2 linked regions of the Xenopus tropicalis genome follow. The protein of the gene in region 1 purifies or fractionates together with the protein of each later gene. This does not show direct contact. Links are inferred from orthologs where the notes say so. Each region holds a gene or a part of one and is shown on either strand. Other genes may lie near its edges.

Region 1 (6,551 bases):
TTTAGCCTGTGATCTGTGGCACTGTATTATAAGGTGTAGCCTAAGTCTGGCTCTTTATCAAGTTAAAACCTGTAAGAAAATAAATGTAAGTCAAATTAAAAACATCGCCTCTTGCAGTGGCACCAACTGAAAGCACTGTAGATTTTGTTATTACAGTGTAGGGAAGGATTCAGTGTGCCTGAGGATGCATAACACAAGATGCATCAGAAATGCTGCACTACAGAATAAAAGTCATAAAGACAAAGGATATGGAAAGATGCCTCTATACAGGGCCGGAATGGGGGGTGCAGGGCATGGTGCCCCCACTGGCCACGTCCCCGTACCCCCTAGGGGCTGCCGCTGTACCCCCTAAGCCCCACAGGGTGTCCCCCCCCCCGAGCCTCCCTAACCCCCCGCCCCCCCCTGCAAGGGCCCCTGTCGGATGTCCTTCCCTGAGCACGCATAAGGGTTTTTTTCCGGTTTCCCAGTCCGACTCTGCCTCTATACTATGCCCCAATAACCATTGTGTGACTATATAAAAAAAAAAAAAAAAAACACAAGTATAATTCACCTTACAGAAACCTAACTGCGTAGCACCAGTCCTGCATTTGAGAAATCCTATTTCCAACAACAGGACCTGGAAACTGGTTACCTTGTCAATATTTTATTTGTATTTATATTTTGAGGCTGAATGTAACTTAATCAATACAACTTCTTGCTACAAAAAACAAGGAAGCAGCCCACAAATCTTTAATTATACCCCCTTAGGGTGAAGACACATGGAGCTACTAAAAGCAGCTACTTGTCGTGGCTACTGAAATAGACAATGCTGATCATTTACTGATAATTGTCTCTAAGCGTGTTTTAGCAGAGACAATTCTTAGCATTGTCTATGGCAGGATATTTTCTGGCATTAGTAGCCACAAAAAGTAGCTGCTACTAGTAGCTCCGTGTGTCTTCAACCTTGAGACAGCAGAGATTCAACTCATAGTTGGGATTTCTGAGATTCGCATTGAGAATTAGGCATGTAGGGACATAAGGCTGAAAAGTCTGCATCACTAACAACACTTATTACAAATATTTTTTGTGGATTTCCTCTGAGTGCATTACTTTCTTTTTAATTAAATAAAGGATAAGGGTGAACTTAAAAAAGCATGCTGTGGTCACCTTGATGCAAAGTTTTTTATTTAATGGAAGAATCACAAAAAACGAACACAGGTGCACAACAGAGGCTGGTATTCTTTATAAAAGTAGGAAAATAAAACAAAACAAAACTACTACTGTATTGAAATTCTAAAGCATGCAGCTTTCTGGTTAAAGCTACACAAGTGAGTGAGTACACAGAATACTTACTGTATACACAAAAAAACCCTCAATATATGCTAATTTCACCAGTCCTTTTGTTTATCACAAACGATTACTACAGTTATTAAATTTAATTTGCATAACACACAAGGAAATAAAGTACAGAAGTTATTTCTGTTCAATGAGCATTAAAACTTCTCAGCATTGCTGTTTGCAGAGGTTATTTACTTTTCAAACCATTGAAGTTCATCTAACTCTTGTTCTTTTGACAAGGTCAGGTCTGGGTTAGTGCCAGATGTGCCAATGGGATGTCTGTGCATCTTACTGAGAACACAAAGATATTCTAGCCAAAAATTCTGGGTTAATTATTTAATTCAACTTCCAGCACTAACTCGGGTGTCTAAAGGATAATAGTTAATGTACTGCATTTAATAAAATACTTATTTAGCGTCTGTGTGTTTTACTATATAATATACTCCAAAAGGGACCGAAACATCGGTTGTACATGCAAGTATAATACACTAATATTTGTTTGAACCACAAGACCCTTGGTGCTGGTTGTGTTTGATTTGAGATAGATAGATAGATAGGAGATATATATATATATATATATATATATATACACATACACACACATACATACACTAAATATATAGGTGCCTTGACCACACCATGAGGTTTGTAAAGGATTCTAAAAGCTGGCAATAGGAGAACTCAGCTCTTTTAGCGAACCCACCAAACAACATGATCTTTGTCGATTTGGCGAGCCACATTGGCTGCCATATCAGGCTAACCCAATCCTTTTGTCCCTGGCCTTGAACCTTCTATAGAATGCCAGTCTACATACAGGCTACCAAATAGCCAATTATAGCTCTTATTTGGCACCCCCAGGAACTTTTTCCATGCTTGTGTTGCTCCCCAAAACTTTTTCCATCTGAATGTGGCTCACGGGTATAAAAGGTTGGGGATCCTTGATATAATGTCTAACCTCACTAATGCTCTTGTAGCTGAATGAAAGCAAATCCCACCAACAATGTTCCAACATCTAGTGTAATGTCTTCCAGAAGAGTAGAGGATGTTATAAGAACAGAGGGAGAATCTATTTGATTTAGGAAAGAGATATTGGACAGGCAGATGTTGAGATCACTTTGTTCATATAGTGTACCTACTCAGAAGTAAATAACTGTGCATGCTTCATGTCGGAACTCCAGACAAAACTTGCAGAATGTATGAGCAGTAATACAAGCTATTTCTATCCCCCATTAAATATTGCCCAGATTTGATACTGATGTGGATATGGCAGTTGGGTTCAATTCTAACTATCTAACTACTATCAGCATTAAGTTTCTCCTTACTTCTGCTTCCATTAGATTCCTCCCACAGTCGAAAAACACAGGCAGGTTAACCATGGCACAAACCAAAAACATACCGGTAAGGTTAACCATTGCACATATGGTAAAGTCCAATATACAAAGTTATTATTAATATATAGGTGCTATATAAATAGTAAAACGGTGCTTATTAAACAGATGTATAACTTGCAGATAGGTTCCTAACAAACAAGCCTGTACTGCACTTGTTTTCATGTCCCCACCCTTATGCATGATGCTGATGGAAACGCCTAAGTTATATAAAAGAAATAATAACTAACTACATGGGATGTACTAACCATTAACAAATGTACTACAAGCGCTTTTGGGCAGGGCTCTATCTCTTGAATTGGTTATTATTCGTATTGTATGTTGTAACATATACACCCATTTACTGTACAACACTAAGGAATATGTTGGTTTTATATATACTTTAACAATAATTAACAGTTCTAGAAGGCCACTTAACAGGTAAAACAGAATTGGTACTTTGAATAAAATATGGTTGTTTATAATACAAATAAACAACTAACATAAAAGCTATTTATGTTTAGACAGAATATAAACTACATATATAAACTGCTACTGACATATAAATACTAACATGTTAAAGCTATGGTTGTTTACAAATAACACACGGCTATAGGGGCAAAACACATACGGTGTATGCATGAATACCAGCGGTAAACATAACTTTTAATGCACAAAGTCATGTTTGACGTACAGCAACTACACTCTGCAAGCCTGCCCGCATAACGTGAACATACGAAGCTTCTCGTACTTACTCGGGTAAATAACTGGAAGAAAACGAGCTCCACTTAAATACAGCATAAGGTAATCCTCTAATCTCGGCCGCCATCTTGTCAGCGGGAAGACGGGGGCGGGGCGCGTCTCTTAAAGACACAGGTGCTCAAAGGCAATTGCAAGGGAAAGAAGAAAGCTGACGTCTGCCCGCCTCACAGTCTGTTCGCTTAGCTGAGACAATAGTGACGGCTGGGTCATTTTACCACGCCACGTACGTAGCAAGTGACAACTGTGCGTCTACGTCGGTGAATACACATGGCCGAAAGCCACTCCCCCACGTTGCTTTTGTTAGTGAAGTCAGGCATGCTCTGCTTGAATAGTAGCAGGGGCTGTACGTAAAAGCACATTCACTGGTGCCAAAGCAACGCCATGCATATTACAGCAATTTATGTGGAAATTTATTGCAAACGGAAGTAACAGTGTAAAACACAGACATTTGCTGCTTGCATTAAGCCGTTTATAACACCAGAGTCTCATATTTTCCATACTGTCCTCTTCTTTAGGGAGTAATCTAAGCTGCTAATTATGCGTTTTGCGCAAAACTGATCCACTAGTTTCTTGTTTTGTTTACTCCTTTGGTGCTGAGCTGTGTAAACTATGAAACCTTTTCTCCAATTTGCAGTGGAAATTGCCCACAAAACTGAGGAAAGCTTTGCAAAAATAGCAATTTCTTCTCGTGATGCATTTGTTTTGGGCATATAGCGCCATAGTCTCCATACGTTACTGAACTGAAACACAACTAGAAGCAAATAGGGTTGCCAGCTGTCCGGCCCAGTATAAGTGTTGTGTACCTGCACAAACATCAGCCCAATAGTGACATAGCCCCTCCCTGTCATGGCTCTATCCCCAAACAACCCTGGTCTGCCCTAGATGTCACAATTTTGCTTCCAATATTTTTGATTTTTCCCATAGCAAATGTGGCAACCATTTTTGCCACAAACGTGCTTAATATTGCTAAGTATAGCAAAAATATGCCGCATTGTATTCTGATGCATATATGAGCAAATTTTCACACTTTCTATACTTCCCCCTGTTGGCATTAAAGCATACCTCCCAACATTTTGAAAATGGAAAGAGAGACAAAAAGAAATGCCCCAAGCAGTGCAGCAAATTTTTTTGACCACACCCATTTTTGCAACCACACCCCCTAAATACCACTCCCATTTGACTAAATTTGGCAGGTTATTAAAAGTTTGAACACATTTCTTGGGGTTTTGGCTTCTTGTTTTATGTGTTATTAGAGGTTTGTTAAAAAAAGCTGAAATTGCCCTTTGTCCTTTAGGCTGATGCCACACGAGGTGTAGGGCTGATATTTTCGGCAAGCGGAAAAACACTTTGCGAAAATACAGCCCTACGCCTGCTACTTGTGCCTGCACCCGAATGAATGAGATACGCTCGGGTGCAGGCACATGTAGCTGATATACGCATGAAAACGCGTGAGAATGCAAAGTCTCGCGTTTTCATGCGTATATCGGCTACATGTGCCTGCACCCGAGCGTATTCCATTCATTTGGGTGCAGGCACAAGTAGCAGGCGTAGGGCTGAATTTTCGCCAAGGGTTTTTCCGCTTGCCGAAAATATCAGCCCTACGCCTCGTGTGGCATCAGCCTTAGTTCCCCCATGAGACCTGTTTAGCTTATTAGTTACAACTGTATCTCAGTGCAGGTGTGGCTTGTTAACTTTCTGGGCTCTCTGCCAAAAGCCCACTTATTTGGGTGGGGTTTGGATGGGTTAATTTCCTGCTGTGAAACTTAGAAATTACTTTCAGTAGAAAACTAAGGATAGGTCTGAGAACCACTTTCTTTTCCATGAAAAACAGTATAAGGAGGGTCAACAGAAAGCGCTTGCAACTCACTGATCTGGCGGGCCAATGTGAGAGCTACTAGAAAAAATGTTGGTGTCTCCATCTGCCCTGAAGAAGAAGGTCCCTGACATTCGGAAGTGGCAGAGGGTCTGCCACTAGCAAATGCCTCAGGAGTGGATACCAAGGTCTCCTCGGCCAATCTGGGAGAATATCGATGACCTCCATCCTGGTTAATAGGATCTTCTGCAGAACTCTCAGGATAATCAAGATTGGAGGGAAGATATGCGCGAATAGGCCCTCCCAATCCTGAGAGAAGGCATCCACCGCTGCTGCACCTTGACAAGGGGCTCTGGAGAAAAAGATCAGAAGTTTGCAGTTCAGATCTGTTGCCATCAGGTCCACCTGTGGGCAGCCCCAAACAGACACTAGCCAGCTGAATATCTTCTGGTCCAACTCCCACTCCCCATAGGGTAGGAGATGTCTGCTCAAATAGTCCGCTTCTACATTCTGAGCTCCCAGGACATGGTGAGCAGTCAGGTCTAAAAGGTGATTCTGTGCCCTTTCCATGATTGGGGCTGTCTCCCTGAATAAGGTCTTGCTCCTTGTTCCCCCTTGGCCTCTGATATACGCTACAGCCGCAGCATTGTCCATTCTGACTCTCACAGCAGTACCCAGAAGGGCCTCTCTGAAGGACAGGAGTGCTTGAAAAACCGCTCTGAGCTCCAGAACATTGGAAGGAGTCTCGGACAGATCTTCCGACCAACTTCCCTGAGCATAAAGATCTAGGAGACGAGCTCCCCAAGATTTCTGGATACTTTCCACCATTCTAGATGCTTCCTGCAATCCCTGGTAATTTGGATATTCTGTGACCAATTCTGAGTCACTAAGTTCCACTGCCTCAGGAAGGATAGCTGGATAGGCCTCATCCTCCATTTGGCCCATTTGACTAGGCCTATAGTCGATGTTAGGAGGCCCAAAAGACTCATAAATTTCCTGGCCGGTGTGGACTGAATTTGCTGAAACTGAGAGACCTTGTGAGCAATATGATGAGTGTTGATCTGGGCTCCGAGGTATATCATTCTCTGCGAAGGAGAGATCTGACTTTTTGCCATATTTATAATCCAACCAAATCTTTCCAACATCTCCTTGGTTTTCTCGAGGCTGGCTTGCAACGTCATCGGATCTCTCGCTACTAAGAGTAAACCGTCCAAGTAATGGTAAATTTCTATGTTCTCCCATCAAAACAACAAGAACCTTGGTAAAAGCTCTGGGCGAGGTGGTGAGGCCGA
Region 2 (5,965 bases), on another chromosome or scaffold:
TCAGCTCAGAGAGTCCTCACCCCTGGCTACTACCCCAGCTTGGCGTCTCCATACCCCTGCCTACTATCTCAGCTCAGCAAGTCCTCACCCCTGGCTACTACCCCAGCTCGGCGTCTCCTTACCCCTGGCTACTATCTCAGCTCAGAGAGTCCTCACCCCTGGCTACTACCCCAGCTCGGCGTCTCCTTACCCCTGGCTACTATCTCAGCTCAGAGAGTCCTCACCCCTGGCTACTACCCCAGCTCGGCGTCTCCTTACCCCTGGCTACTATCTCAGCTCAGAGAGTCCTCACCCCTGGCTACTACCCCAGCTCGGCGTCTCCTTACCCCTGGCTACTATCTCAGCTCAGAGAGTCATCACCCCTGGCTACTACCCCAGCTCGGCATGTTCTCACCCCCGGCTACTACCCCAGCTCGGCATGTTCTCACCCCCGGCTACTACCCCAGCTCGGCATGTCCTCACCCCCGGCTACTACCCCAGCTCGGCATGTCCTCACCCCCGGCTACTACCCCAGCTCGGCATGTTCTCACCCCCGGCTACTACCCCAGCTCGGCATGTTCTCACCCCCGGCTACTACCCCAGCTCGGCATGTTCTCACCCCCGGCTACTACCCCAGCTCGGCATGTTCTCACCCCTGGCTACTACCCCAGCTCGGCATGTTCTCACCCCTGGCTACTACCCCAGCTTGGCATGTTCTCACCCCGGGTACTACCTGTCTGCCTCGGCCCCAGTGCATAATGTCACCGCATCCCACCGGCCAACGCTAATGACGCTGGACACTTGGTTGACTTCACTCCACACCTGCCAGAGAAGGGGACTTCACATTACCGGCGCTGGACAAGTCCGCCTGTGGGGCGCAGTGATGTGACACACTGGGGTAGAGGGCCACTCTGAGGCAAAGAGGTAATAGCAAGGGGTGAGGATGCAGCGGAGGCCAGGTAAATGACCTTGGGGGGAGCCGTATCTGGCCCGTGGGCTGTAGCTTGAGGACCCCTGCTTTATATGATCCTTACAATAAAAGGTGTTTTTACTCTATTTAATAAAAATCAAATGCCTTCCAGGAGAGATAGACAGAAATCCCTCCCAGCAAGCAGGGCTCACAGCCAATACATCAAACATGACATTTACTTTGGGAAACTTCTGTATAAACAACCGATTGGCACAACCTGCCCAAATCCACCCTCCCAAACACATATTAGTCCAACCAACTCTGCGTCTATTAAACTGTATTACATTTGCCGCGGGGCAGAAAGCTTGCACGACTGGTTAACACGCTCACTACCAAGAACAGGCAGAAGAAAGAAAACATGAATATAACCCCCCCCCCCAGACTGCACGTTAATCTTGTAGTTGTGCGAGCACTGCAGGATGGGGCAATAACTGGTGTAGGAAGGGTAATTGCCTCTAGGATCACTTGCATTCGGCACCGGATAGAGTGTTTTAGAAAGCAAAAACTGATATAAAAAGTTTCAGCACTCAGGACCCAACACATAATGGGAGATGTTACTACAAACCATATGAGTAGACTGCAAGGAGGTCTTGGTGCATAGTTAGACTGCTCGCTAATTCCTTTATAGACCAGCAGCCAAAGCAATTGCCCCCTGGCACAGCAGAGATGGGAAATACTGAGTGAACCTGCCTCACAGCCTATTTCCTCCTGTACCAGGGAGGGATGTGAGAGAAAAAGGACAAGGAGTGAGAGGTTTCTCCCTGTCGCTGTGCGTGGAGTACAAACGTCACAGACTGAGAATACGTGGGGCGCACAGGCAAATGTTCCGTGAGTTCCTGTGACGTCAAATCGGGCGTTACTTGGGCTCTTCCACTGTCCCTTTGCTGAGGTCAGCCATCTTGGGGTATTTAACTTTCTTCTGGTCCAGTTCGTTCTGAGCCCAGAGGAGCAGCTTGAGCAGTTTTGCCAGTTTAGGGGTGGACTCGCGGTTCTCATAATCCAGGACGGCTTGGTTGACTTCGCTCCATACCTGCCAGAGAAGGGGACTTCAGGTTACTGGCGCTGTTATATAGTTAGAAATATTGTATTATGGGGGTTAAATGGGGTTAAACAGTAGGACTGACATGTTTATTGCTTCCTATAAAACAATATATGATAGAGAAGGAAGCCATTTAATGCAAGGCCCTGACTATACATAAACTACATAACAATAACTATAATGAGGCAAAAAACCAAAAACACACTAATTGTATTATAGTCTCTTGCCTTATTATACACCTCCTAATAAAGTTGTTGTATTTGAATATATATAAAAACTATAAGTGGAGGGTATATAAGGAAAATGACTCAAATAATGCCTCACCTCCTCTGATGAAGCACCCAAAGGTGTAAAACTCATAAGGAGGGCGGAGCATGGGGATCATGTGGCACTGGGATGCACCCATATGTTGTTTGGGATAGTATGATTATAGATTTTGGAATTTCACTGTTAACTTGTTATGTAGGTATTGCTTCCTCCCTACTTTGCATTCTCTCCCAGCCTTCAAGGCAAAAATCAATGTCACTTGTTTGTTTTCAGATAATAGAAGTGCGGAACTGCATTCAGTTTGCTTGGAGCGGATACTGCCCCCTTGTGGTCCTGGGTGAGAGGGAAGGGGCAAGAAGAAATAACAAATGCAGGAAGGGGTGTTAAAAAGGGAATTATATTTGCCTATTCAGTCTCTGCCAGTAGAATTGAACCCATTTGTCTCAGCCAGAGTGTATGGAGGGGAGGGATACCAGTGCAATGTACCCACACATTACCAATTACACTGATCTGACAGATCATTCTGTGGCAGGGGATACTATGCTGCTCACCTTTTGCCTTTGCATCATGTTGAGCAAGTCGCCAAAGGGAGAATCCTCTGGGTTATCGAATGCCAACAGTGCCAGCGTCCGCTCCATCTCAGTCAGGCACTCGCGGCTCTCCTCTCCCTGCTCTGCCAGTTGGGTCTGGGCAAACTCTAAAGCTGCCTCTGTCTCTCTTTGCCGGATCAGCTCAATAAGGTGCTGTTGCTGAAAAACACAAATGCAGAGAAAGCCACCCATTACTTACACATTTCAGGAATACCAACTGTGCTGAATGCTTCCCTTAGTTTCCCATGTGTCTGTGTATGCTGTGAGACAGCTGCCCAGTGACCCCCACGGGGCAAATGTAAGTCTAACAGCAAACAGAACCTTGCAGCAGTGTTACATAACAGAAATTCAGGTGAATGGTCAGACCCCCAACAACCAGAACCCTACCCTGTCCTCTGCCCCAAACACAAAGGTCTAACCTGCAAGTGAAAGTACAAGTAACGGTTGGTATCCAAAAGCTCAGGGTGTAGGGAATTGATCAGAGCAATGGCTTCCTGAATCTGGCCCTTCAGAATCATCTCTCGGATCTTTATTCTTTCATCCAGGCTCTCCAGATCGACGCTGGGTTCGATTCCAGACTCCATCCGGAACTTCTCTGCCGCCTCTTTGAATCCCTCTGAGGGAGGAAAAGAGTGAGATGAGCAGCCATGGTTCGTAAGAACCTAAAGAGTCTAAAGAGGTTTGTTGTAAGGGGTCCCATATAGCGGCATTTTGAGAGCAGATAAGTTACCTACAATACTAACCCCAGTGCAAACTGATGATTCCCATTAAATCATGAACAGTCATTTGTACAAAGGTGTATCGAGGATCCCTATAGGACACAGTTTGCTAATTCTATGTTTCTTGGACATAAAACTGTTCCCAGTCACCTATATGTGGCTGCAACCCATCCCATTGCCCAACAGTTTTGTGTAAAAGACTATAAAAGGCTATAAAACTGCCAAAGTACAAAACAACTGCTCAGTAAGAGAAAGACCCAACATAGAAGGGTAACTCCTCAGAGCAAGACTCAGCAGTCTATATACATCAAAAGGAAAAGGGGTGCTCCTTTAAAGGAATAGTAACACCAAAAGATGAACGTATATCAGTTATTCACAGATTATTTACTGTTGCCCTGCACTGGTTAAAGCTGTGTGTTTGCATCAGAAAGACTACTATAGTTTATATAAACAAAGCTGCTATATATATGCGACCTTCCAAGGTGCCCTAAAGGCTGGGGACACAGAGGAAGGTTTAAAGGTAAAGCATTAACACTGCCTCTCTAACCTGTAACAAGGTAGTTCATGATTAGGCGGTTCATGTCTGCTCTTTGGATATGTAAGTTGTTCAGTTTCTCCATCCATTCTTCTTTTGTAATCTCCTCTGGCTTCTCTGTGTAACTCATTGTCACTTTGAAAAAAGAAAATGAAATAAGACAAAAAGCCACTTGCCATATTAGCGAGGTGTCAGACGGAATTGTAAGGAGGTTGTGAAAGACAAGGGACCCTCGGTAGCAGGGGAGGCTTTAGGGACACAGTACATGAAGGGTACAATTATAGTCACTTGATTGGGACGGGGCATATGGGACACAAATGCAGAGAGACAGGTGGGGTCAGAGGACTGGGGGGGGGCAGGGGCTATGGTAGGAAGAAGCATCAGGCACTAGAATGTGAAAGGGTTTATAAATAACAGAAGACTTGGGGGATGTAGGGCACAGGGCTGGATGAAATACTGGTGACACGAAAAAGGATTATGGTCACTTGGATGGGAGAGATTTTATACGGAACAATGGGTTGGGGGAAATGATGGGCACTGGGACAGGGGAGGATTTATTACGGACACAGACTTTAGGGAATAGTGAGCACAGGAATAGAATGAGGTATCTGTGGCACTGGAATGTGGACAGGGGCACTTGGAGGGGTAAGTTTGATTATAGACAGTGTGTGGGAGTTAATGGGCCCTGGGAAAGGATTGTGTATTAGTGGCAATGGGTTTGGGGGACACAGGCTGGAGTATAAAGTATTTATGCCACCTGGGTGTGGGCAGGGGCACTAGGTGTGGAGGGGTTTATTAGGGACAAAGGGCTTGGGAAGATGATTGGCCCTGGGGTAGGGAAGGATTTATTAGGGGAAGATGATGGGCACTGGGATAGGGAAGAATTTATTAGGACACAGGGCTTGGGAAGATGATGGGCACTGGGGTAGGGAAGGATTTATTAGGGGAAGATGATGGGCACTGGGATAGGGAAGGATTTATTAGGGGAAGATGATGGGCACTGGGATAGGGAAGGATTTATTAGGGGAAGATGATGGGCACTGGGATAGGGAAGGATTTATTAGGGGAGGATGATGGGCACTGGGATAGGGAAGGATTTATTAGGGGAGGATGATGGGCACTGGGATAGGGAAGGATTTATTAGGGGAAGATGATGGGCACTGGGGTAGGGAAGGATTTATTAGGGGAAGATGATGGGCACTGGGATAGGGAAGGATTTATTAGGGGAGGATGATGGGCACTGGGATAGGGAAGGATTTATTAGGGGAAGATGATGGGCACTGGGGTAGGGAAGGATTTATTAGGGGAGGATGATGGGCACTGGGATAGGAAAGGATTTATTAGGGGAGGATGATGGGCACTGGGATAGGGAAGGATTTATTAGGGGAGGATGATGGGCACTGGGGTAGGGAAGGATTTATTAGGGGAAGATGATGGGCACTGGGATAGGGAAGGATTTATTAGGGGAAGATGATGGGCACTGGGATAGGGAAGGATTTATTAGGGGAAGATGATGGGCACTGGGATAGGGAAGGATTTATTAGGGGGGAATGATGGGCACTGGGATAGGGAAGGATTTATTAGGGGAGGATGATGGGCACTGGGGTAGGGAAGGATTTATTAGGGGGGAATGATGGGCACTGGGATAGGGAAGGATTTATTAGGGGAAGATGATGGGCACTGGGATAGGGAAGGATTTATTAGGGGAAGATGATGGGCACTGGGATAGGGAAGGGTTTATTAGGGGAAGATGATGGGCACTGGGATAGGGAAGGATTTATTAGGGGAAGATGATGGGCACTGGGATAGGGAAGGATTTATTAGGGGAAGATGATGGGCACTGGGGTAGGGAAGGATTTATTAGGG

The links. The genes of interacting proteins can lie anywhere in the genome.
Region 2: the proteins of mkln1 (region 1) and gid8 purify together in Homo sapiens (affinity purification with mass spectrometry; 4 studies listed by BioGRID and IntAct, with this or other methods). This does not show direct contact. The link is inferred for Xenopus tropicalis from reciprocal best matches to the Homo sapiens genes MKLN1 and GID8.

Annotation. Positions count from the first base shown.
Region 1 is NC_030679.2:84,994,613-85,001,163, reverse strand, and holds the start of mkln1 (muskelin), read right to left. Parts: upstream 3,662-6,551; 5' UTR 3,514-3,661; coding exon 3,440-3,513; intron 1-3,439. UniProt on the Homo sapiens protein: Component of the CTLH E3 ubiquitin-protein ligase complex that selectively accepts ubiquitin from UBE2H and mediates ubiquitination and subsequent proteasomal degradation of the transcription factor HBP1.
Region 2 is NC_030686.2:2,365,862-2,371,826, forward strand, and holds the end of gid8 (glucose-induced degradation protein 8 homolog), read right to left. Parts: intron 4,235-5,965; coding exon 4,112-4,234; intron 3,462-4,111; coding exon 3,265-3,461; intron 3,005-3,264; coding exon 2,807-3,004; intron 1,980-2,806; coding exon 1,806-1,979; 3' UTR 1,022-1,805; downstream 1-1,021. UniProt on the Homo sapiens protein: Core component of the CTLH E3 ubiquitin-protein ligase complex that selectively accepts ubiquitin from UBE2H and mediates ubiquitination and subsequent proteasomal degradation of the transcription factor HBP1.